Caenorhabditis elegans: one gene and its partners. The protein of the gene in region 1 purifies or fractionates together with the protein of each later gene. This does not show direct contact. Each region holds a gene or a part of one and is shown in the gene's direction. Other genes may lie near its edges.

Region 1 (9,874 bases):
ATTGTTTGCACTTCTGCAAAATATGCCTATTTAATTTACTGTTTCTTGAGAAATGTATACAGTCATTATTTCTAGCGATACTCACAATTTTATTGCATTTCCTTGTCTAGCTTCTAGTTTTAATAAATTGATTGCATAAATATTGGATATACATAAAAAGTAAATAATACAAAATCTGACGACTTGACACAATAAGACTTCGTGAAACAGTTAAAATTTGATAAATTCTAAGGAACCCCTATGATAGATAAACAACATCATGTTTTATATGCGTTTTGATACACTCAAAATGCTAAAACTGCTGGGTGCCCTAATTTTTCAGGCCTAAATTTTGAAATCTGTGCAAACACGCCACACAGTTTCATCATATTGAGTGTATGTTCCTAGAAAACTTTCAATGAGTTTATTGATTCCGGAAAATGAGAATTGCCCAAGCAAAATCTACCCCGCAAACACAAAACAAATTATTTTAAAAATTCGGAAGACTAGGCGATAGGCAGGCAGGCTCGCCTAGCCCAAATTTTACTACATAAAGTACGCCTCCGCATTTCAAATGTGGAAATCGTAACAGTTAATAGCACTATTAACGTATTTTAAGAGATTACCGTTTCACAACCATTTGAAATGATTCTACAAAACTCGTTACATACTGCATTAGTGTTTAAAACAGTGAGAACTACAGTTAGAAACAATGTATCCACAAGTGACAGTCCACTTTCAAAATATTAACGTTTCACAACTATTATGAATAGTTTTTTAAAATAGTTTTTTAATCGGTACGTATTATAGTTATTTTGATCAACTAGTTCATTCTTGATTATTCTTTCCTCTTTTTTTAAATCCAATTTAACCGAAAAAAGCACAAAAAAAATGAGGAGAGCCAGTCAACTACTGCCAAAGCAAGCATTTTTAAAGTCTAAATTAAAATTTCAACAAATCAAGTAAACAAGAAAAATTGGGTTAGGCACGCAAAATTATCCACGGGACTATCAAACACCATGCTTCACCCAAATATGTAGAAATTAGGCGTTAGGCAGGTAGGCAATGGTGTTCTTTCCTAACATGAAGTTTAATTTGACTAATTGAAGTACACATAATCAACCTTCAAAAAACTTTTCAAAAAGTTCAAAAATTTTCAAAAACAATTAAAAACCCTCCAAAACGTGATTTCAGATGAACTTCAACTTGTACTTTTTCTAAACAATTCTTCAACTTTTCCGTAACGTGCCTTTTCTTTTTTCAGCTTATTTTGCTTATTCTTTTCTTCTCTCTTTATCCAATTCAACCGAAATAAGCACAAAAAATCGAGGAAAGCAAGTCATCTCCTCTCAGGCAAAAATTGAATATCGAGTTTCATTTTCTCTCTCTCTCTCTTTCTTTTTCTTTTTTTTCTAGTCTGAAGATGTCTTCAGAAGAGGTCGACTTTTCCAATTTTGTCTATCGTTTTCTCTTTCTTTTCCTGGCATCAAGGAGCCCGCGAGCCTTTAGAGAAGAGGGCTCTTTACACACAAAATTGGATAAAATTGAAAAAGAAGAGGAAAAGTGTGAAACTGGAAATGTAACACTTCTTCCTTCCCTCCAGTTCTTTTCTCTCCTTTTCTTTCCTTCACATTTTCTTTTGTCCCACGGCTTCTTGCTTCTCGAACCGATCTCGACGTCGTCTCGCGTCGTTTACGGGTAATTTGAGCCCACACGTCGTCACCCGTTTGGAGCTCTGCGCCAAGGAAACCATCAAAATTGGAGTGGGAAAGAACCTTATGTTTTTGCAAAACGACAAAAAGTTTAAAGTTGGCTGCTGTTTCTAAAAACGTTTTTTTTTGAAACAAGTGCACTTTTGCAGTTTTTTGTGACGTGCAAGCCTTCTAGACTTCACTTTTGGCTTGAGACCACTATTCAGCTATATAGGTTATGTATTCTGAGAAAAAAACATAGTTTTTTTTGTTGTTAGGTCAGAGTTACCGTAGTTGATGTATTGCAAATGTTTGCTTAAAACAAATTATTGATTTGAAAATCTTGATTTTGAAATTGAAAATTTTCCTGTGATTTTTAAGTGAAACCGTAAGTTATATATTTTTTGGCATAGCAAACTAAAATTTCCGTTTCACAGTCATTTGAAATGATTCTACAAATTTCAACATATACTACATATGGCTCCATACTTTAAAATTCGTAATTTCTAAAAATATTTCTGAATTATCTTGAACTCGAAAACTTAGTCATCAGCCCTTTGTGTCTCCAATTTCTTTCCAGAATGTAACATTTCTGAAACCCCGGTTTTCCAATGTACCCGCATATCTCACGTCGACCGACCTACCTATGCGCCTGTATTTTTATGATATGTTATTATCCCAAAACACATACAGACTTACCCTTTTTTATTTCGATTAATTTATTTCAAACTTCAAACGAAAGCTCGATTATTTAATTTTCAAGCAACTGCTGTTGTAGACCACTTGAAATATAAGTTTTCAAAAAAATCAAACTTTCAAATTCTTCAATATATTTCCAATTCCCATAAATGATTTCTTTTCTTTTCATTAATTCGCTTCAACTTTCAAAATTATTTTCATAACTCCTGCTTTACAGCGTACCCAGCAAAATAGAAAAAATTTTCCTGAAAACGACGTCATCAGGAAAAGTGTTCAGAATCCGTCGTCGTTGTCTTCTTCAGAATGGCTTCGGTGGCGGCGTGGCTGCCGTTCGCGAGAGCCGCCGCTATCGGATGGGTTCCCATTTCGAGACAGCCCATGCCACAGGCCCCAGTTGCAATACAGGTTAGGTTTGGTGGGAATAATTTTCTAAATTTAAATATAAAGTAGTCCAAATTTGATCTGAAAAAATTGCGCCAAATATTTATTTCCCGATGTTTTTTTACACTGTGATATTTCTAAAAATTTTTGTGTGACGCCACACATCTTCATTTTTAATGAGAGACACTTAGGCAGCATTCTGTGTTTCTATTCGGTCATTTATAGACACTATAAAACAGTGGAAATTTCCACGTTCTCACAATTAGGAATTCTTGTTCGCGGAAAAGGTTCAAACATCAAAAAATACGGAATTCTTTCATAAATTCTTGTTCACACACGTGTTAGGTGGTCGATGTCTTTTGAAAATTTGGAAATTTGATACGAGTGTCATATGCAATGAGAGATTAGATCCTCTTTTTAGTTCCAGGATCCGTAGTGAGAGGGAAACTAAATATACATTTTGAACTTTGGATATGCAAAATTTTTACTGTTTCATTTATTTGGCAGATTCCTCTTTTTCATGAACTAATTTTTTGTGTTGCCTGTAGATCTCTATATGTTCACAAGCTCTCAATGTGATATTTCAGGCCAAAGACCTCGCGGTTGATCATGTCTCTGACGAAAAACTAGCAATCAACATATCAGGACGAAGGTTCGAAACGTGGAAGAACACGTTGGAAAAGTTCCCAGAGACTCTATTGGGGTCAAATGAAAAAGAGTTCTTTTATGATGAAGACACTGGGGAATACTTTTTCGATAGGGATCCGGACATATTCCGACACATTCTCACATTTTATAGAACGGGAAAATTGCATGTGAGTTGTTTGTTTTTGTTGTTTGAGCCAGTTTGAGACAAAAAATTGCAAGCATTAAAAATTAATGTTTTTTGAAACAGTTTTTTTAAAAATAAACTCTCTTCAACTTTCTAAACTTCCGCTGAAAATGTTCTTAAAATGTAGAATCATGCTTTGACATTTTTTCTATAAAAAATCAAATTTTAACCCATTCACATAGGCGCTAATGTCCCCGTCTACCAACAAAGCAGCATAGACCTGTCTCGAGCCTACAGACAAACCGCAGGCGGGCAGCAGGCAGGCGTTAAAATTAAAAATATCTGCCTACAAACTTACGCATTTGTTTTGCAATTTTTTTTTGGAAATATACAGAATTCAATTGATTGTAAAATAGATGCAATTTTTATTCAGAAAAATATTAAATCTTTTGAGCAATGCTTTTTGAGAATTTGGAGCATCGCCGGAGAATATTTTAAATTAATTATGCCTAATGGTGCTTAAATGGCCTAATAATGTAGTAAATCCTTTATAAATTCAATTTTTTTTAAAATTTTATTCAAAAGTGACGATTCCTCATTTTTTATTTATTTTAATAATGCGTTAATAAGTTTTACTCAAACACTGTATGAGTATGAACTTGTAAGACTGCTAGATATTTCTCAAAGGAAACGGAGTAATATTTTTCGAAAATAAATTTTAATTTCAAAATAAATTTTATTTTGTATTATAATTTTCAATATTATTTTTTAATAAAAAAAATCTTTGAAAAATTTAAGATTTTCGTTTGAGTATGTGGTGACTTGTTGAAATCTATTAAAATGCGCCACTTTCCATTTTTCCCAGAAATCCATATTTTCAGTATCCCCGTCATGAATGTCTTGTTGCATACGACGAAGAGCTCAGTTTCTTTGGAATAATGCCTGATTTGATATCAGATTGTTGCTATGAAGACTATAAAGATAAAAAACGAGAAAATCAAGAAAGATTACAAGAAGAACGTGTAGAAAATGCGGATATATCAACATTAAAATTGTCTCTTAAAGAGAAAATGTGGGCGGCATTCGAGAATCCGCACACAACATCAATAGCACTTGTATTTTATTATGTCATTGGATTTTTTATTGCTGTATCAGTGATGTGTAATATAGTGGAAACAATACCTTGTGGGTATGAGGATAATGTGTCTGTGACGTGTGGAGAAGCCTATGAAGAGCAATTCTTTGTTATCGATACAGCGTGTGTTATCATTTTTACGATTGAGTACTTTTTACGGTTGATTTCTGCGCCGGACCGAATCAAATTTATGAGGTACGTTTCTTTTAATATCAATATGTAAACTTCTCACACTAATAAGTTAAATATTCACTGATTTTATCAAACTCATTTGAAACAGCAATAAAATTTTGAATTTTCTAATTATCCAATTTTGACGCTTTTTGATTACCTATCGGCTTTAGAGACAATTTAATCAACCAATTATTTAATACAAAAATAAATTAGCAAAACGCAATTAGGAATAATAATCAAATAAAAACGAATTACCCAATGCTATGGGAAAGTTCGCGAAATTCAAGATTTGAGCTAAAATAATCGTAATTCTTTTCAAAATCTTGTGCCGCCAAAAAAAAATTGGAAAATTTTTTGAGAAGTCTCATTACAAAATTCAACCATTTCAGTATGACCCTCTAGCCCGTCTTTAATGCATTTTTATGATTTCAAAAGTTTTGTTCAAAATTATCAGTTCAAAAATATAGAGATGTTTCTCATAACAATCATGAAACTGTAAAATAATTAAGGACACATTTGTCAAAATTGGATAACATGTTATTTATTCGTCCTTATTTTTTTAACCATTTAAATGGTTTTCTTTTTTCAGGTCAATAATGAGTGTAATCGATGTGATTGCCATAATGCCTTACTACGTTAGTTTGGTACTAACTGACAATAAGGATGTATCCGGCTTGTTTGTCACTTTAAGAGTTTTCGTAAGTTTTTTCTTTTGTTAATCCTTAAATTGAATATCCAAATATTTTTTCGAACATTCTGATAAAAATCATTAATTCTTTGATCAAATCCTTCTAAAATTTACAGCGTGTCTTCCGAATATTCAAATTCTCACGACATTCCCAAGGTCTTCGAATTCTGGGTTACACTCTTAAATCGTGTGCAAGTGAACTTGGATTCCTTGTATTTTCACTGGCAATGGCAATTATCATATTTGCCACTATTATGTATTATGCGGAGAAAAAGGTCGACGCGACGAGATTTACCTCGATTCCGTCAGCTTTCTGGTATACAATTGTGACTGTGAGTTTTTCTTTGTAAAATTAAGAAACGGGGTTGAAATTTTGATTTTTACGTTAAATACTCTCCATAAAACCTTCAACGTTTTGCAAATACCTTATCCCAAATGCACTAGGAAAATGTAAATTTTAAAGTTAATATTTGCATTGGAAAAATTAAAAATTAAAATATTTTTTTTTTAATTATACAAATCACTGAAGACTAAAGGTGAAACCTATTCATACAACACAGTCATTGTTTTTCATAATAAAAAATTAATTTTTCTTTCAGCTAACAACTCTTGGATACGGAGACATGGTTCCATCAACAATAATGGGTAAAATAGTTGGAGGAGTATGCTCACTGTCTGGAGTGTTGGTTATTGCTCTTCCAGTTCCAGTTATTGTCAGCAATTTCTCTCGAATTTATCATCAAAATCAGAGAGCTGACAAGAGAAAAGCACAGAAGGTATGGTTTTTCGTTCAGTTGTAAAACCTTTTTAAACACTTAGTGATTTTTTTGCAAATTTGTTGGATTAAATTTAATCAATTTTCAGAAAGCCCGTCTTGCTAGAATTCGGATCGTTAAAAACGCGTCTGGACTAGCATTATTCAATAAGAAGAGAGCTCATGAAGCTCGGATGCTAGCATTTGAACAGGGTAAGTTGGTTTTTTTTTTCATTAGAACATTTCGTATTGCCGGCTTAAGTTAGTTATTATTGAGTTGTCACAAAAATATTTAACTTTGGAAATATAGAAAAGTATTCCATTTTGTTTTTCGGTCTCTTGGCATTTCTGTTGGCTCAAAAAAAGCAAATATAAAACATTAAAATTAAAAATTAATAAAAACAGTTCGTGATTCCGCTTGCTCAAGAGGGCACAAATTTTGAATCCGGTATAAAAAACAGATTCTGTGGTTTTTTTTTATTCCGTTTTTTTATATTTAATGTTTTAGGTTTTCGGTTACTTAATTTATTAGCAATGTGAAACATTAAAAAAAAATTATGTGTACAAAATTCTAGATTATAATTGAGATAACTCTAAAAAGTGCATTTTTGCAGGTCATCTCTCTTTCGATGCTCTCCGAGACGAAGATATCTTCGAAATCCAACATCATCATCTTCTTCAGTGTCTAGAAAAAGCGACGGAACGTGAATTTGTTGAATCAGAAGTGATGTTTGAAGGTGGAAGAAATACTCCTCCGCCCAGTGAAACAGCTTCATTGAAAGGAAAAACAAAGCGTAAAAGGCGATTGTGAGTTTTTGATTTTCAATCCTTTGAAGATTTATTAGTCTCTGGATTTCAGGGTAAAAAAATAAGAAAAAATTTTATACTATTCATCAATAAAATAAATTATCATCAAAAAAATTCACTGATGCTTTCTTTTCGTTAATGCATTTAAAATGGAAAATAATCATGAATGAAAATGAAAACTGTAGAAAATATTGTTGCGTTTTAAAATCCAAAATTCAAAAATATGCCTCTGCAACCCTGGCTAAGATGTCTGCTTGAATTCCCACCAAACATAGAACAAGGATATTAGGCAGCGTTGAAATACCATGTTTTCAAAAATTGTAGTTTCAATTATTTCTTGAATTTTTTTGAGTTTCTTCTTTGTCAGCAATATTTTGAGTATTTTAAATTAGAACCCCATTCGAAAAGTGAGTGTACCACGAAATGGTCTCGTTGGTGCAACTTTAGAGGGAATTCAAATAGCAAAATTGACAAAAGTGGAAAAACCTTAAATTCTTGATGTTGGATTTACTTCTTATTTTTGTCATTTTTCCTTGGTGATATTTTTGATTTTTGGATCACAATTTTGAGTTAAAACAACAAATCTCCTGAAATTTATTTTTTTTAGATGCTGTGTTTCAAAAGAAAATGAAGAAATGGAAGAGTTGGATCGAGAGACTCGTGTAACATTCAATCAGAATATGGATCAGGTATAAACTAACACCAGTTATTTGTTGAAAATTATATTATTAATTTCAGATTTGTGAATTACCAAAACCTGATGAAATGGAACTCAATCATCGAAATAATGACAAAATTTGCGTATCGCAACTGTAATCTACTTCTTTATTTTATTTTTTTAAAATGATTTCTAAAAATCATTTTCTATAGAAAATTTCTCTCATTGCTCTACCGGTTCCGTCTTTCTAGAAGCTAGTTGTTCTTTTACAAAAGTTTTCTGAAATCATCCCTCCCAACTATTCGGTTTCCCCAATCTCTCATCAACGATGCAATTTTGTTTTTTTCTGTAATTTTTACTTTTTCAAGTTAGAAACAAATATATTTCCATTGAACCCGTTTCCCGAAAAACTTCATATCGCTCTTTTTCTTTTTCAGTTCGAGGTGACTTTTCTCTAAATTTTCCCCGCTACTAGGAGCCTCTCCGATGATCTGCCCATTGGTGGCAGATGTCTTTCATTTTTTTTTTGATTTTTCAGATGGAAATATAAAATTGAAGTAAAATTAACTTTTTATGTGCAGTTTTTTTTTTTTCAATTTTCCAGGTCTGTCGATAAAGTTTTATTTATTTTCTAATTTTAGAAAACCACAAAGGGAATTACTTTTTTTTAACTTAGTGAGCTGGTTCATTTGTATCAGCTCATTGCTGAAAAAATGTAACTGTACAACATTCCGCTTCATTCCAATTGCATTTTAAACTACAAAAAACTTTATAAACAGATACATAAAATAATGCAATTATCAACAGTTTATCGTCGGGTTCCGTCCTCAAAGAAGATTCCTCCATCGATAGCACAATACTTTGGACAGATTCCCTTCTCTCCAACACTTCCTGCTTGTCCGGCTTGTCCAGCTGGTCCTGGATTTCCATCAGATCCTGGTTGTCCTGGTTGTCCAGATGGCCCCTTTGGTCCTGGTTGACCTGGTTGACCATTTTGTCCTGGAGTTCCTGGTTGTCCAGGTGGTCCTTGTGGTCCAGCCTCTCCTGGTGCACCTGGTTCTCCTGGAACAAGTGGCTCAGATGGAGCATCTTGACCTGGGTTCCCATCTTGCCCTGGTGCTCCTGGTTGTCCATTGACTCCTGGTGGTCCCTTTGGTCCTGGTTGACCTGGTTGTCCATCTTGTCCTGGACCTCCTGGCTGTCCATCAAGTCCAGCATCTCCAGCTGGTCCTGGTGGTCCTTGAACTCCTGGTGGTCCTTGTGGACACGGTTTGCATGGTGGTGGGGTAATTGGGTCACATGGAGCTTGTGGTGGACGTCCTGGATTTCCAGGAAGTCCAGCTACTCCAGGCTTTCCTGGACGACCTGGCTTTCCTGGGGTACCGACGGGTCCAGCTGGACCTGGAAGACAGCATCCAGAGCAGGATCCTCCAGCGGCCCCAGCAGATCCAGCGGCACCAGAATCTCCGTAAGAAGCTTGACGGGCGGTACGGTTGGAACGGATCGAGGAGACCTCGTTGAGAATGTCTTTAGCAGAACCCTTACAGTACCGGATCTCGTGATGAATACCCTTCTTCACGTGCGAGACGTAGTTGTAGACCATCGGAAGTGTGATACATACCTACAAAAAAGTTCATAAATGGGTTTTTGGACACAGTTTAATTTTTAATTCACTTCCAAATTATCAAAGAAATCATAATATTAGTCTTGTTTCTACGTTTTTACTCACCGAAAGTACTGCAACAACACTGAATGTAACAGCAGCATAGGCCACAAAGCGATACGCTTTAACACGAGTCTCCACCTCCATTTCTGAAGCCGACAAATTGTGGCTTTGCCCGTTTCTCTTATATATTGTTCAGTTTTTCAACGGTTTTCTCAACATCCGATACGGCTATGCTAGTTTTGAGATTCTAACCGATGCGCTGTGAACGAAAAACATCACAAAAAATGGAAGGATAAGAGGTTTTTCCAATTTTTCAAAAGACAATCTTATCAGTTTACATATAATTTGTGATCTTTTCCGTTTCTTTACATCAACAATTGTGGTTTAGCATGTAAATTCCGAGTGAATGCAATCATTAATTCCTTTTTTATATTAATTTTTTATTTGGCCATGGCGCCACCAAATTTGGT
Region 2 (7,274 bases), on another chromosome or scaffold:
TAGTCAAATCCAGTTCAATTCGCTCCCCATGTGTCAGCTCTTCTCCAAATATGTACTTTATCTATGTTGTCGTCAAATATGATCCGGCTGGAAATTTCGAATCTCACAAGGCATATTTGAATAATGTCGAACGACCTGTTGCATAATTGAATTGCTGAATTTGTTTCACTGCTGCACTTCCCAACGACGTGATGTATATGTTAATAGAGTCATATCGCCGATTATTGTATATTTCACTTACCAATTGATCTCTTGTTCTGTATTCATGAAATGATTGTTTTGCTAAGAATTTGAAACTATACAAACACTTTTCACAGCATTCAAAAAGACTTATAAAAACAATAGGACCAAGACAGTTCTCCTACGGAAAAATATTTTATTTCAACAAGTAGCAGTTCAATATTTAATCAAAATTTTCATACAAAATGCGTCCACGTTAGCGCGCAAAAATCTGAAAATTACAATTCGGCTGTTCCAATACTACATGCCCGTAAGTGTGAAATGTACTTTGATCAACCAAAGCTTGCACATAATTGTACCTCACAATAAAGTTTGTTTGGAGCAACATTTCACTACTATTTTAACTTATTTCATTTATTCTTTTCGTTTAATTTATATTAGTCCAATATCATTTAGATTCAAGAATGTTTAACCACAATCAGAAAAATAACAAATTCTCCCGAACATTTTCTACAAACTCCATCTCAAAATCAGCGAAGATTCCTTTTGTGTTTGTTTGTATACATCCACGCTTCACCAAAAACATTCGTAATGTTGAAAACCGTTGGCAGTCTTCCATGCATCATAGTCTTGAAGTGCCTTTTTCCCCAATTTCGCATATTTCAATGAGTCATTCTCCTGGAAAAGTACAAAAAGCAGTGTTCCTGTTTGCACAGCCAGCTGAACATATTTTCCAGAACTGTTTCGGATCTTTATGGGTTGATCGATCAAATAAAACACCGCGTCAAACCTTTTTCAGATGTTCTCCTACGCGATCACAAGTTTCCCGCTTCCTGTTAAACATCATTTTTGATTTTGTGCCGTTTTCCATTTGCTTTATATCATCTCGTGATATTTGCTTATTGAATTCCCATATATTTTTTCAGACCGTTCTCAGAGTCAACAACGCTCAGCGACTAACGTTTTCAAGATGTTTGTTTCAATCTCCGGCGTAGATCCAGAACTAACCAAGCTAACAAATGTACGTTTTCGAAAATTAAAAAATTAAGCAGCTATGTTCAGCCAAGCGATGTTATGGTCTATATGCAAAACAAGTCATTAGAAGACAAATTGGATCCAGCAGAATATAGTATCAAAGATCTTAAAAAATGGATTGTACACTTTCATAATAAGTATAGAGCTCATCATAGCTCTCCAGCAGTTACTGTAGATTCGAATCTTACCAATCTTGCCCAGAAATGGTCGGATGAAATGGCCTTTCACAAGAAATGTTTAGTTCACGAGCAACCTTCAAAGTGAGTTGATACCATTTTTCACATCTGATTCAGTTTTACAGATACGGTGAAAATCTAACATCGTTTGCGTCTTCAAAATTCCCATCTCCAAAAACTTGTGCAGCTGCACTCATACACGGATTTTATACAGAAGGCTATGGATTTAATTACACTCGGTAATCTCGATGTAATGAATGCCTAAATTTAACTTTTTTTCTCAAGCTTTAACCCTGGATCTTGGTCGAAAGTCGGGCACTTCACTCAACTGCTCTGGAAGAATTCGCGCAAAATTGGAGTTGGAGTTTCAGTTGCAAAGCGGGGAACAATGTATCATGTCTACGTTTGTATCAAATACGACCCACCTGGTAATATGCAAACTTCTGAGGCTTACATGGATAACGTCAGAGCTCCAAAAAGTACAAGTGGATGCGGGTGCTTAATTATGTAAAGAACTGTAGCGAATACATTTTTGGGATTTAAATAGATATTAAAATAAAATTAATTCCTACACATTCAAGTATCATCATATTGATAATTTGATAATACAATTCAAATTTTCCGAAGGTACAATGCTATCAATGAAAAGTTTACAGTCGAGCGAATTACTCTTGTAATATAGTTTAAATATGAATGCTAAAGGTTTAAAACTGTGTGCATCATTATCAATTTCTGAGTCGATCAAGATCAAAATGTATAAACGAATAGAACAATGTGATTTAGTATCATACTGAAAACATTCCAATCGACAAAATTAGATTTGTATGAGAATTCAAAGTTTTTTTTAAATTTGATGAGCCGGAAACTACAGACGTACTAATGGTGTATTAATTTTTACAGCACTTTTTAAAATGCAAAGTTAGTAACAACTGGCTACACAACATTAGTAGAAGCATCATTACAGAATAACTTAGCTCAACGTTGATTGATATTTCAAATGTATCTGTTTCAAACATGAAGCTAGTCTAGACAACTTTGTTTTTCTTTGCGGATAGGTTTTATGAGATGATACGAGCGGATGAATCCAAATGAAAACGAAGACGGAAAAAATGAAAAAAAAAAGAAACAGGAAGAAACATGTGTTGATAGCAGGATTCTTTTGTCGCCGCTCTGTCTGTCCTCCCGACCATCAACCGAAATCATCTCTTATCCAATGTGCCTCGAGTCATTTTTGCGTGCGATGGCACTGGACTTGCAATACAACTTTTTCGTGCTCTCACCAATAACACTGCGTCTCCAACGGCAATGTCACTCAAAAGTCATTCTTCTTGCATGACAAAAAACCCGTCGGAAAGGGGAAAAGACAGGACACCTCTCTTCCTCGATGCCCCGTTTCCAACCGCCGCTGATTTCCCAGGCCCCGTTGTGTCAATTTGATCGACTTGGCGGTAACTGTTGGCAGCACTTTGATTTCCCCATTTATTTCGATCGCGGAATTCAAATTCTCGAGTTTAATGGCTTTCCTTCTAGTTCTTTTTTCGGTCAATTTGGTCTTGCCTCTTTTCACTACTAATTCGAGCTTCTTGAGTCACTTGACTAGAGAGCCTCAAATTACCAGTCCTGCAAAAAAAAAATTGAAGAAGAAAGTCAAACATTTTCATGAAAAACTGCAACAGCCTTAACCTTTTGAATTTAAAATTTTGAATATATATTTTGAAATTTTTTTTAAACTTTAATGTAAAGTATTCTCTGCAGGAGATAAAAAATTTAATGCATCTTTTCCTATTCGTACTCAATCGTGGATTTTAAAGGGCTTCACGTCATTAAACTATGACAATTTTTTTTGACTGAAGCATATTCAGGGTGTGTTTTTTAATTTGAATCATGGTTGAATAAATACTTTTTTGCCGTTTGAAACACTTACCGTATAACTTCCTTAAAAATTGTACAAATAGCAGTTACTAGATGAGCAGCTGGAAACGACGTTCTGCAATATCTTTTCCAGCGCCCGGAGAGGAACCAGTGATAGGTGAGAACTCCCATCATAAAGCAAAACAATAATCTTCAAAAGTTAAGGATTCGATTACAAAATTGATGTTCCCCTCCTTTCGCCGATTCATCAGCATGTTTTTCGACCATCCAGTCTACAGCAGGTACTTGTACTTTGAGATATGTTGCGCAAAGGGAAGAAACTTGCAATACGAGATATCGCCAATTTGTAATGATAACAACGAAATGTAGTGTTAACATATATGTACTTTATTTCCTTGTAGTTATTTGAGTATATGGTCAAATACGGTCAGTGCGATTAGTTAAGTTGAAGATATAGTTAAAGATAAAGGGAGTTTGAAGAAGATAATATTGAACTCTGTTCTTGCCAACTCTTCGTTTTGTCAATAAGATTGACGTGTGTGCGTGTATTAAGGAGACCGACCGTCGCGGTTTTGGAGGTAGGAATGTAGGAAACAAGGCCGGAAATGTATCATCAAGTTGGTAAAATACCAAGTTGTTAAGGGATCTAAAGTTCAATGAACGGGGGATTAATTAGTAGAAGATGTAAAGTAATTCAAGTTAAACGACGAAAATTTTGGTAGAGGGACATGAAGAATTTTGTTGTAAGAAACTTATGAAAAACAGCTAAAGATAAAAAGTTTTATGATTCTAAAATGTATGTATTTTTATCCAGAGCTCAATTTTATTAAGAACCTCTGCGATTATCTCCTTTTGTTTTTTATACTCTTATTCAATTCATCTGTATTATGTTAATTATATCATTAGTTCAAATAAAAAAACGGTTCCAATTTTGGTGACATGGCTACAAAATATTGAAAACTCGATCATTTTCAATAACTGGACACAGATTTGTGTTCCGTGACCTAAACGGAATTGTTAATATATTGAATTCCATTCGAATTCCAGAAAGAAACTTGAAAAATAATTTGATTGACTTATTGAAAAACAAAATTATACCTTGCTGGTCAAGTTGTTTTTTGTTTCTTTCGTACTTCCGCAAATTGCTAGTATCTTGCTAGAAATTTTCCACGTGGGAACAAAAAGTTTCCCATCTGCTTTTAAGCGAATCTACGGCTGTTTTTGTCTACCTGTAGAATGTGTAATTTTTCAGTATTCCAATATTAATTTTCGATTCTAGAATTTGTTCGGGTTATCACAATTTTACTTTAATTAAAAGTAGTTTTCCGCTCATGCATATAAGCTATTTTTACTGTATTCGCTTTTGTTTTGCATAAAAAAGTAAAATTATCTTAAAAAATCAAGTCGTCGTTCTATTCAAAACAGTTTTTGTCGTGAATAACTCGAGTTTAAAATCTTGTCTTTCGTTGAGATGATATCCGAAAACCTCAAAATGTTAAAAAATTCAGATAGTTTCCGGATCACACTTGCTGGAAAATGTTTTGAATTTACAGTTCTAAAAAATTGCTCAAATGTTTAACTCAGTTGGAACATTTTTATTGATCAATCCATCCAGAAACCGAATAAAAAAGTTGTTTTTTGAATTTTTCATCTTCAATACTCTTCTTGTCGTTGCAACCTTTTGATGTTTTTTCAAGAAGTGTGTTTTGTTCTACTTCATAGTTTTCTTGGTCATATTTGTTGCAAAGCATACTTCTGTATGAGTGGGTCGTCTCAGCAAAGCTACTATTTTTATTTTTCATTTTTAACTTTCTGAATCCCATAAAACTTTTGACGTCAGTATTAATTTTTAGTAAGAAGTATGCAGCTCAATTTCTTAGGCTCACTATCAGACTGAAAAAATGTTCTGGGAGGTACTGTTGAAAAAAAGAGGTGTTTTGATAATATGCTTACACATGTTGATAGATGGTCTTCAGTTATCTCATTAATATCATCTTGTCAACCAAACTCTGTGTTGGCCAAGCGAGTGAGGATGTTGTAAAGTCGGTGTGTGCCGAAAGCGAAGAAAAAAGTCAGCTCCTCCGGCTGATTTCTCTATCCATTTCACGATTCTTTGCTTTTGAAACTACCTTCTATGCCTGAAAACTCTAATATTCATAGTAAAAAGATATACCATCGGTTTGGAACTCGAAAATCAGTGCAACTTTCCGGGGGTCTTCACCCAAATGTGTCTTTGAACAAGGTATAATTGTATCTGTGATTCTACAAATGTTCGATATTTATAGTTAATGAAATATATATATTTTTTTTTAATTTAAAAAATATATTTCCTACTTTTCTGTTTTCAGGTAGTGGATGAAACTCATTTCTCAAAAAATGAAGTCAGAGCAATATACAGAGCCTTCAAAGAAACATCACCAAACGCTGTCATCAACAAAAGTAAAACACATTTGTCACAATAAGTCATCGGAAAATATATATTTTCAGATATTATGAGAGAAAAATTTGCGGAATTGTTTCCTCATGGTGATATTGAACATTATTCTGATCTCCTTTTTGAAACGTTTGACAATGATGGGAATGGAACAATCAATTTCCAGGTGAGAGTGTTCTCATTACATTACACTTTGACAAGTGTGAAGTTTTTCCCAGGAGTTTGTGAAAGCTCTCTCAATTCTCTGTCGTGGCACGTTGGACGAAAAGTTAGACTGGCTATACAAGTTGTATGATCCGAAAGAAAAAGGAGAAGTTACTTGGGACCGATTATTCTATGTGATCACATCTATGGATGATTTAATGGGTTGGTGAACTAAAAACATCCCTGATTTGTAAAAATCGTCATTTTAGGTAAGCACGCCAGACCACATCACACAAGAGAGCAGAAATGTGAGCTTACAAATCAAGTGTTTGCGGTGAGTGATTCATACAGCTATGACCTTACTGAGGTAGCACTGAACAAAGGTTATTAATTATTAATAAATAATAGCGAACGGTGATAAAGCTTTTGAATTGTGCACCAAGAGGGCAATGCAATAAACTGATCTCGTTAAACATAATGTTTTATGAAGTTTGTTGGTATTGAAAATTTTTAATGGAGGCTACACTATTTTTTAAATAACAATAAATAACAAAAAAAACTATGAGAGTTAAAATATTTTCACTATTTCGAATACATACTGACCCACATCCGTTATGCACACATAATTTAGCCTACTTCAGAATCTGATACTCGGAATATCTTGTTAAGAAATCTCAGAACTGTTTACTCTCAGCAACAATTGTCTTAATAAATGTCAAATAGTTTTGAAATTTCCAGAAGTTCGATGTTGGAAAAAAAGGACGAATAACAAAAAAGGATTTCTTACATATTTGTAAAACTGACCGAACAATTTTAAACTCAATTTCGGCACTTTACACTCTTCTTCCTGGTTGAACAATCTAAACATTTTTATGGTTTAAAAACAATTTCACATTATGGGTTGTATTTGTATTTATTGAATAAATTGATATATCGTTTTTAGTTATATATTTTTATAAAATGAATAGTAAAATGAAACGTGCTTATCAATCCCGTAAAACTATAATAATTACCTTTTTTTCAAACCAGGCTCCAGTTATCAACAGGTGGTTTGCGATTGGTGAACTGTGGGGAAAAAGCCTTTTGCAAATAAGTCCACCGTAGACTTATACATATATCACTAATGGAAACATGCTAAAAATGTTCCTGCTAAAAAATGAGACGCTCCGCTTTACCATCTTTTTAAAATTATGTATTATGGCTGAAAATAAATAAAATAATAAACTGTGGTATACAAAAACGATTTATTGAGTCGACACAGTTATTATTGTTGCAGTTCATCAAAATAAAATACAAACATCAGGGCGTGTGTGATGAGATACGATTTTTCAAAACAAAAAAGTCCAAACTGTTTTCCGTTGTGGGCGTGTAGGGATGAGGAGGTTTGTTGGCGCATATGCAATACTCACATACAACAAGTTTGATGAGTATTT
Region 3 (8,207 bases), on another chromosome or scaffold:
TTTTTTCCAACTTGGGCGGTATTTTTAGCATGATAAGCTTAGTTTTGTTGTCAGTATAGCAAAAAAATTTGAAATAGTGAAAAATTTTTAAGTAAGAAAACTATTGTTTTTTCCACATTTTTCTAAAAACTAAATTTTCGTATTTTCTGGAACTTATTAAGCTTCAAAACCTAAAATTTTCAACTCAGCCCAGTCGGTTTGCCTTAAGAACAATAAAACAAAAAATTTTGCCACAGCGGGGACTCGAACCCCGGTTGTGTGATTGGAGGGCGCCGAAAATCCCACTGCGCCATTCAGACAAATTGTCGAAAATGGCGGAAATTGACTGAATTCGAAAGAAATGTAATATTTAAGGTAGATTTCGTAATTTTTATATATTTTGAGTTTTAAAAATGCAAAAAATATACTATTTAATATAGCATATCGGCAAAGTCAGTCATCTTTGGCCTAAAAACTTCCAAAAAGAGTGTAGTATGTATAATTTTTTTCTTGTTCCACAGACTTTTAGAGATACAACTAATAACCAATGCTACACACCACCACCACAACACCACAAAAGTCGAATAATTAATGACGCTGAAATGAGATAGAAGATGAGAACTTCTTCTTCGCTTTTTTTCTCTATTTTCGCTGCTTTTTTTCGATTTTTTGGTGTGAAAAATGTGGGAAAACGTTGATTTTAAACTAAAATAACCCAAGTTGAAACAAAAAATGTTGGGAAAAAAAAAATAATTTTAGGCCAAATTTTTGAAAAAAACATTTTTTTTCGAATTTTTTGAAAAAAATTTTCCCAAATTTCCTAAATTTTCTCAATTCATTTTCAATTTTCTAGTTTCATAACAAAGCCTAACAGATATTCCACCTCCTGTTCAATGCTCAATCGTAAATCAGAGTCCCCCTCTTTCCTCGGGGGCTCTGATTTCCGAAAAAAAAGGGTCCTATCAAATTTCACAACGTTTTGTTTCATTTCGTCTTTAAACCCGAGTGACAACATAAATTTTATGATTTTCCTGCAAATTTTTACATTTTTTAGTGTTTTTGTAACTTTTGCCCAAATGGCGCAGTGGGATTTTCGGCGACTCCCAATCACAAGACCGGGGTTCAAGTCCGCACGGTGGCAAAAATTTTTTTCCTTGTGATTTTGAGCAGTTTTACGGTTTTTTCGACTTTAAAACCTGCATTTTTTTGGTTTTAAAGGTGCAAAACTTTTAGAAAGGTCGAAATTTTGGATTCGAAATTTTTATCCGAAAATTGTGAAAATTTTATTTAAATTATTAGATTTTTAGAATTAATTTGTGAAATATGGATTGAAAACCTATTTTTCTTATTATTATCATCACTTTCCACCTTTTTTGAAATTTTCGTTTGAATGGCGCAGTGGGATTTTTGCCGGCTCCAATCACAAGACCAGGGTTCGAGTCCCCGCTGTGGTCAAAATTTTTTCTTGTGGATTTTTCGAGTAATTCAAAGATAATTAACTCGAATTTCGAGGTTTCAGACCGCAAAAAGTTTGAGAACTTGTCGAAAAGCGTCTCCCAATACTTCAAATTTCAAATTGGTTGTAGAACTGGTTTTTTTTTCATTTAAACAGAAAATTTACGCTGAAAATGTGTTTACTTGTCAATTATCCCACTTTTTAGCATTTTTCACTATTTTTGAAAATTTTGCCGAAATGGCGCAGTGGGATTTTCGCCGCCTTACAATCACAAGACCGGGGTTCGAGTCCCCGCTGTGGCAAAATTTTTTTTTTGTAATTTTCGAAAAGGTTAAGGACAATTTAAGGGTGGGGAACTTGAATTTTTGTATTTTGTCACGTTAATTTTCAGTTTTTAGAATAAAATTTTAGTTTTTTTTGTATCTTCAAAAAAATTTTTTTCCAAAATTTTTCCTATTATCAATAGAATTTAAACTTGAATTTTTGTAATTTCATACCCAAACGAGCATTCTAACCAAAAAAAGAAGACAATTCCATTTATATCTTTCCAGTTATTTTTTCTTCTATTCAATATCTCTTTTTCCCATTCCAAAAGACACGAAAAGGATATGCGTTTGGCATTTATTCGTTCTTTTTTCTCAAATTTTTGTGTCTAGTGAGTGATGTTTTCTTTTTTCGGCAAAATTTGTTTGGGCTTTCGTACTAAAAACATTGAAAAAAAAATTTTTGAAATTTTTTTTCTATATTATGAAACTTCTTTCCAAGATTTGCACAAAAACTTTAAGAAGATAAATTTTTGATAAAAGCAGCCATTTTCCGCCATTTTCGACAATTTTGTCCAAATGGCGCAGTGGGATTTTCGCCGGCTACCAATCACAAGACCGGGGTTCGAGTCCCCGTTGTGGCACAATTTTTTTTCTAGTTTTGTGAGAGCATATTAGTTGTGTAGAGCTTGAATTTACTAGTTTTAGAATTGTAAAATTTCTAGAAATAGTCGTAAATTTAGTTTCGGTTTTTTTGGTTTTTTGGGAAATGGTTTTTTTTCGAAACGCTGAAAATTAGCTTGAAAATCATATTTCCCATATAAATAATTATATTTCATGCTTGAAACGTTAATTTACTCAATTTTTGCACGACCAACATTATTGAAAAAAAGTTTCCAAATGGCGCAGTGGGATTTTCGCCGACCACCGATCACAAGACCGGGGTTCGACTCCCCGCTGTGGCCCAATTTTTTTTCCGTTTCACTTTGTTTTTTATGTGTAATTTACAGGTTCTCATCTTGAATTTCACAATTTTAAACCTTAAAAATTTGTAAAAAATCGGGAAAATTCGAAAAAATTTCAACTTTTTTTTCAAAAAAAAAAATTTTTTTTTTTCGAGATTAAAAAAAAACACAAAAACAACATTATATATGTGTTTATCTCTCTTTTTTCATCATTTCCCCTCTTATCACCATCTGATATCTCTCAATTGCTCGACCACTATCACTTGTCGTGTCAGCAGGGAGGGGGTGCCACCAGTGCCACCAGTTCTCATCTCTCAACCCTCATTTATCACTGATATCATCACTTGTCTATTACCACTATCACCTATCAGCTATATTCCAACATAAAAACAAGATAAACCCGAAAAAAAATTTTTGGAAAATTTTTTTTTGAAATTATTTTTTTGTGAAAAATGAAAAGTTAAAAAAATGGGCGGAGCCTCATCAATTGACTCGAGACGTGGCGACAGGCCAGGTCGTAAATCTACTATGTTACAGGACCAATATGAGCAAAGTCTCTATCAGATTATAGTAAGTTTAAAATATTTGAAAAAAAAAAATCGAATTTTTTTACGAATTTTAAACTAAATTATCAAGTTGTTCCAAATATTTTTGAAACCTAAAACATTGAAATTTGAGTTCAGCACCCTTGAATTACCCCAAGAACCAAAAAAAAAACTGAAAAAAAAATTTCGACCACAGCGCGGACTCGAACCCCGGTCTCATGATTGGTAGTCGGCGAAAATCCCACTGCGCCACTCGCGCAAAATTTTGAAATTTGTCGAAAATTCATAGAAAATTATGAAAAATCTTGGGTCAAAATTTTCAATTTTTTCCTAAAAAATCCAGTTTTAATACTAATTTTCCATTTTTTGAGAACATCAATTTTAAAACAAGTTGTTCCAGATATTTTTGGAATATCAAGCATAGAAAATTGAGTTTAACACCCTTGAGTTTCCCCAAAAACCAAAAAAAATCTTTTAAAAAAATTTTGCCACAGCGCGGACTCGAACCTCAGTCTCATGATTGGTAGTCGGCGAAAATCCCACTGCGCCACTTGCGCAAAATTTTCAAAAATGCTCAAAAATAATAAAATCTTGTTAAAATTCTAATTTAGCCCTTATTTTCACCTGGTTTCATCAGAAAATCCAGAGTTTTCCGTATTGATTTCCTCTAAAAATTTCCACCTGCTTTCCAATTTTCTAGCTTTCGCCATAACTTTTTTTTCATTTGTTTTATTTTCTTAGTATAAGTTTTCTGATTTTTAGGCTTGTCGGGAAAAAAATTAAAAATGGTTAGTGAATATTAAATATAGAAAAACGAAGAAAAACGAAAAAAAAAAATTGAAATAAAATTTTTACGATTTTTCACGATTTTTCTCACGATTTCAATCTGGAGACCTAAAAATTCAAATCGTACGCTATGAAAAACCACCAAAAAATCAAAACAAAAATTTTTTGCCACAACGGGGACTCGAACCCTGGTCTTGTGATTGGTAGTCGGTGAAAATCCCACTGCGCCATTTTGGCAAAATTTTGAAAAAATTTGGAAAATTACCACAATTAATGATGAAACACGTTCAAAGTTAAAATTTTAGAAAATTTACACTCAGAAATCACATTTTGAAGATATTTTTTAATATATTTAAAATTGAACTTTAAATCTAAAATGTTCAGCTTGTTCAAAAATTTTTTAGGTACTTTTCCGATTTCTGCCCCCCAAAATGTTTTCGAAAATTGCATTATTGAAACGTGAACTTTTTTGTAATTTCAGGCTTAGTATTGTTGTTTTCTAAGCCAAAAAATTAAAATACTATTGAAATAAACATTCACGTGTGAATTAAATTAAATTAAAAAATTGAAAAACATTTTGGGGGGCAGAAATCGGAAAAGTACCATTTTTTAGGCTTTAAAATTTAAAAATTCGAGCTCTCCACATTCAAAATACCATAGTACAATCAAAACAAAAAATTCGCGCCACTGCGGGGACTCGAACCCTGGTCTTGTGATTGGTAGACGACGAAAATCCCACTGCGCCATTTGGACAAAACCGTTAAAAATGCTCAAATTTCCAATTTTATTGATTTTTATCTATATCCGTATAGCTTAGGGGCAATTTTTAGTTTTTTGAAACTATTCTATTTCTCCAAAAATCCAAAAAAAAAAGGTTTTTGAAAATTTTCACCAAACTTTTTTTCTTTGTAAAAAAAAAGGTTTTTTTCCGGATTTTGATTCAATCTTGCTTTTTTTTTAAATTTTTTCACTATAACTCTGTAATTTTCAGTTCGACCGAGCCGTGCACAACGCCTACTCAGAGCCACCAAAACTATTCACCAACTCCATATTCGACACCCTCTTCCACCGCCTGTACTGGTCGATACGGGCGCTGCAATTCAAGATTTTCTACAAAAATGAAGATATGGATCTAGACGAGGTGGTGGACAAATGGGAGATCGGAGTTCAACCACCGTCGTTGGAGCAGTTGACGCAGAGGACACAGTTCAGTCCGAAATGGATAAAGTATATGTATGCGAAATTCAAAAATGTGAGGTTTTCGAGGTTTGGAATATGGAAATTTGAACTCAGCATAGTAAAATTACTCTAGAACAGGAAAACAAAAAAAAAATTTTAAGCCACAGCGGGGACTCGAACCCAGGACTTGTGATTGGTAGTCGGCAAAAATCCCACTGCGCCATTTTGGCAAAATTTTGAAAAACGCTGAAATTTATGGAAATACACAGAAAATACGTTTTCTTTGCAGTTTTTTGAAATTTTGTGGCTTTAAATTCAAAGTGTAGCACTCATTTCTAACTTTTTTCCAGTTTAAAATTTTGAACAATTTTCAACCGTTTCTGAAACTTTTCTGCGCTGAAACTTTTTTTTTTTGAATTCAGCACAGCCGAATTAGCCCAATAACAAAAAATAAAAAAATTTAAGCCACAGTGCGGACTCGAACCCGGGTGTTCAGATTGGTAGTCGGTGAAAATCCCACTGCGCCACTTGGACACTTTTTTTCGAAAAATCCTGAAATTTATTGGAATTGGTAGAAAATACGTTTTTAGGCACTGTTTCAAATTTTAGTGACTCTAAATTCCAACTTTAGAGCTAATTTCAAACTTTTTTCCAGTTTAAAATTTTGAACCCAATTTTCGACCATTTCTGAGATTTTTTCTACGCTGAAACTTAACTTTTTGAATTCGGAACCCAGAAGTTACCCCAAAACAAGAAAATAAAAATTTTTGCCACAGTGCGGACTCGAGCCCAGGTCTTGTGATTGGTAGACGGTGAAAATCCCACTGTGCCATTTTGAAAAAATTGTTTTTTTCAGGAATCACCTACCGGTAAAATGAAAGAAGAAGAATTCCGAAACCTGCTCGCCTCAATAATTGCACCGGAAAAAGCCACGGATCAGTATATTTCAAGGCTTTTTACGGCGTTCGCCGGGGTCGACAAGAAGACTATCACTTTTGAGGTAAGTTTTCTATAGGAAAATCAAATTTTTTTTATTTGAAACTGTGAAATTTGAATTCAGCGTCATTGAATTACCGTGAAAAAAACAAAATAAAAATTTTTGCCACAGTGCGGACTCGAACCCCGGTCTTGTGATTAGAAACCGGTGAAAATCCCACTGAGCCATTCGGACACTTCTTTCAAAAATGCTCCAAAATTGATTTTTAGCGCTTTTCATCAAATTTTTAAGTATTTTAAGTGAATTTTGATAAATGTTAAGTGTTTCAGAACCTTCTAGACAGCCTTTCCCATGTACAGCCTCAGACCGCCGAGACTAATGCCAAATGGACAATGAGATTGATAACTGGGGGTGGAGAAGGCGATTGTTTTGGATATTCAGCTTTTTTGGACTTTACCCAGTCAGTATTCCAGTTGAATGAAGGAAAAAGTAAGAATTTTTACAATTTTTGAACAAAAAAAATTTTTTGAATAAAAAAAAATTCTCAAATTTTTTTTTCCAAATTTTTTTGAACATTTTTTTAGGCGGAGGTGAAGAAATCAATAAGGAGTCCGTCCAGCAAAGAGCCACAAAAATATTCGCCGAACTGGATTGTGATAGGGATGGATTAGTGACCTATGACGATATGATCCGGTTCTTTCAGGTGGGTGAATTTCGAATTTTGGCTGATTTTCGTGAATTTTTGTCAAAAAATTCGGATTCTACGCAAAAATTCCGTTAATTTGAAACCCATATTGACTAGGTTTCAAACATTTTTAAAGTCTGGCCGTTTTGGGCCGGATTGGGCCGAAATAGGCCAAAATGTGAAGTTTCTACCATTTTGGGTGTTAATTTGTTTGAAAATTTAAATTTTAACAAAATTTCAATTTGTTTTCACAAAAATTGCCCATTTTCAAAATTTTTAGGTGTTTGGGCCGTTTTAGACCTAAATAGGCTTTTTTTTAGGCCAAAATCATTAGTTGCTCGGCAAACAGTTCCATGAGTTAAATTTATGTTTAGTTTTGGTTTATTTCTATCTGTGTTAACACATAAATCAAGAGTGTTGGAGTTTCAGGCTTTTCAGGCCATTTCAGGCCGAAATAGGCCCAACATTTTAGATTTTCATGACTTTATCGGTACGAACACAAATTTGACGCGTTACGGTGTTAGTATAACATTCACAATGCCTTGTTTTCACAAAATTTGTATTGTAGCCTTTTCAGGCCGTTTCAGGCCGTTTCAAGAAGCCCGAAATACAAATTTTGCGAAACCCAGTCGATATGGGTGTCAAATTAACGGAAATTTTACAAGGATTTCAAATTTTCAACTCATTTTTGTTTCAGAAAAACAACGATTCAAGCATCGGCTTCACTCCGGTCTCCCCAGCTCCGAATGGATTTGCCAACTGTGCCAAGCCTCTTTAATCGAAAAAGTGATTTAACCCTTGATATAACATTCCTTTATCTGTAGATCTCATGTTCAACTTTATTTGTGTGGTTTTTTTTCCATGCCAAAATTAAGATTTTTCAAAATTAAATAAAAATTGGTATATTTTAAAAAATTTAATTTTAAAACCGAATTTTCGACTTGACAAATCAATTTCTGAGCTTTGTAATGTTGAAATTTGGATTCTGTGTGTTTTAAATACCCCAAAAAAAAGTTAGGAAACATTTTTGCCACAGTGAGGACTCGAACTCCGGTCTTGTGACTGGATGTCGGCGAAAATCCCACTGCGCCATTTGGACACTTTTGTCAAAAAATGCCCACAGATCATTTTTTGCATTTTTTTTATAGATATATACAAAGCGTGCAAGTTTTTCAATTTGTGATGAAAAAATCAGTATTCGAAAAAAAATAAATAGACTTTTTAAATTTTAATTTTAAAACCGAGTTTTCAACTTTTCAAATCAATTTTTGAGCTTTGCAATGTGGAAATTTAGATTCAGCGTGTTTGAAATACTTCAAAAAAAATAGAGAAATTTGTGCCACAGTGGGGACTCCAACCCCGGTCTTGTGATTGGAAGCCAGCGAAAATCCCACTGCACCAGTTGGACACTT

Evidence for each region.
Region 2: the proteins of shl-1 (region 1) and ncs-4 purify together in Caenorhabditis elegans (affinity purification with western blotting; one study listed by BioGRID). This does not show direct contact.
Region 3: the proteins of shl-1 (region 1) and ncs-5 purify together in Caenorhabditis elegans (affinity purification with western blotting, with the first as the bait; one study listed by BioGRID). This does not show direct contact.

What each region holds. Positions count from the first base shown.
Region 1 is NC_003282.8:6,376,781-6,386,654, reverse strand, and holds shl-1 (BTB domain-containing protein), read left to right. Parts: upstream 1-2,584; 5' UTR 2,585-2,672; coding exon 2,673-2,774; intron 2,775-3,337; coding exon 3,338-3,565; intron 3,566-4,403; coding exon 4,404-4,852; intron 4,853-4,869; exon of another isoform or gene 4,870-4,890; intron 4,891-5,260; exon of another isoform or gene 5,261-5,281; intron 5,282-5,420; coding exon 5,421-5,529; intron 5,530-5,635; coding exon 5,636-5,851; intron 5,852-6,118; coding exon 6,119-6,295; intron 6,296-6,383; coding exon 6,384-6,486; intron 6,487-6,751; exon of another isoform or gene 6,752-6,772; intron 6,773-6,887; coding exon 6,888-7,080; intron 7,081-7,687; coding exon 7,688-7,769; intron 7,770-7,818; coding exon 7,819-7,896; 3' UTR 7,897-8,370; downstream 8,371-9,874. Other genes in the region: bli-6 (Nematode cuticle collagen N-terminal domain-containing protein), read right to left, coding at 8,547-9,359, 9,468-9,548.
Region 2 is NC_003284.9:10,173,881-10,181,154, forward strand, and holds ncs-4 (EF-hand domain-containing protein), read left to right. Parts: upstream 1-2,640; 5' UTR 2,641-3,356; coding exon 3,357-3,420; intron 3,421-3,467; coding exon 3,468-3,544; intron 3,545-5,300; exon of another isoform or gene 5,301-5,397; coding exon of another isoform or gene 5,398-5,505; intron 5,506-5,611; coding exon 5,612-5,702; intron 5,703-5,750; coding exon 5,751-5,863; intron 5,864-5,915; coding exon 5,916-6,063; intron 6,064-6,110; coding exon 6,111-6,175; intron 6,176-6,579; coding exon 6,580-6,696; 3' UTR 6,697-6,774; downstream 6,775-7,274. Other genes in the region: C07A4.2 (SCP domain-containing protein), read left to right, coding at 1-146; C07A4.3 (SCP domain-containing protein), read left to right, coding at 1,151-1,201, 1,243-1,475, 1,517-1,630, 1,677-1,902.
Region 3 is NC_003283.11:18,823,716-18,831,922, forward strand, and holds ncs-5 (EF-hand domain-containing protein), read left to right. Parts: upstream 1-3,026; 5' UTR 3,027-3,131; coding exon 3,132-3,233; intron 3,234-4,160; exon of another isoform or gene 4,161-4,231; intron 4,232-4,985; coding exon 4,986-5,246; intron 5,247-5,332; exon of another isoform or gene 5,333-5,403; intron 5,404-6,029; coding exon 6,030-6,173; intron 6,174-6,439; coding exon 6,440-6,599; intron 6,600-6,694; coding exon 6,695-6,813; intron 6,814-7,492; coding exon 7,493-7,573; 3' UTR 7,574-7,707; downstream 7,708-8,207.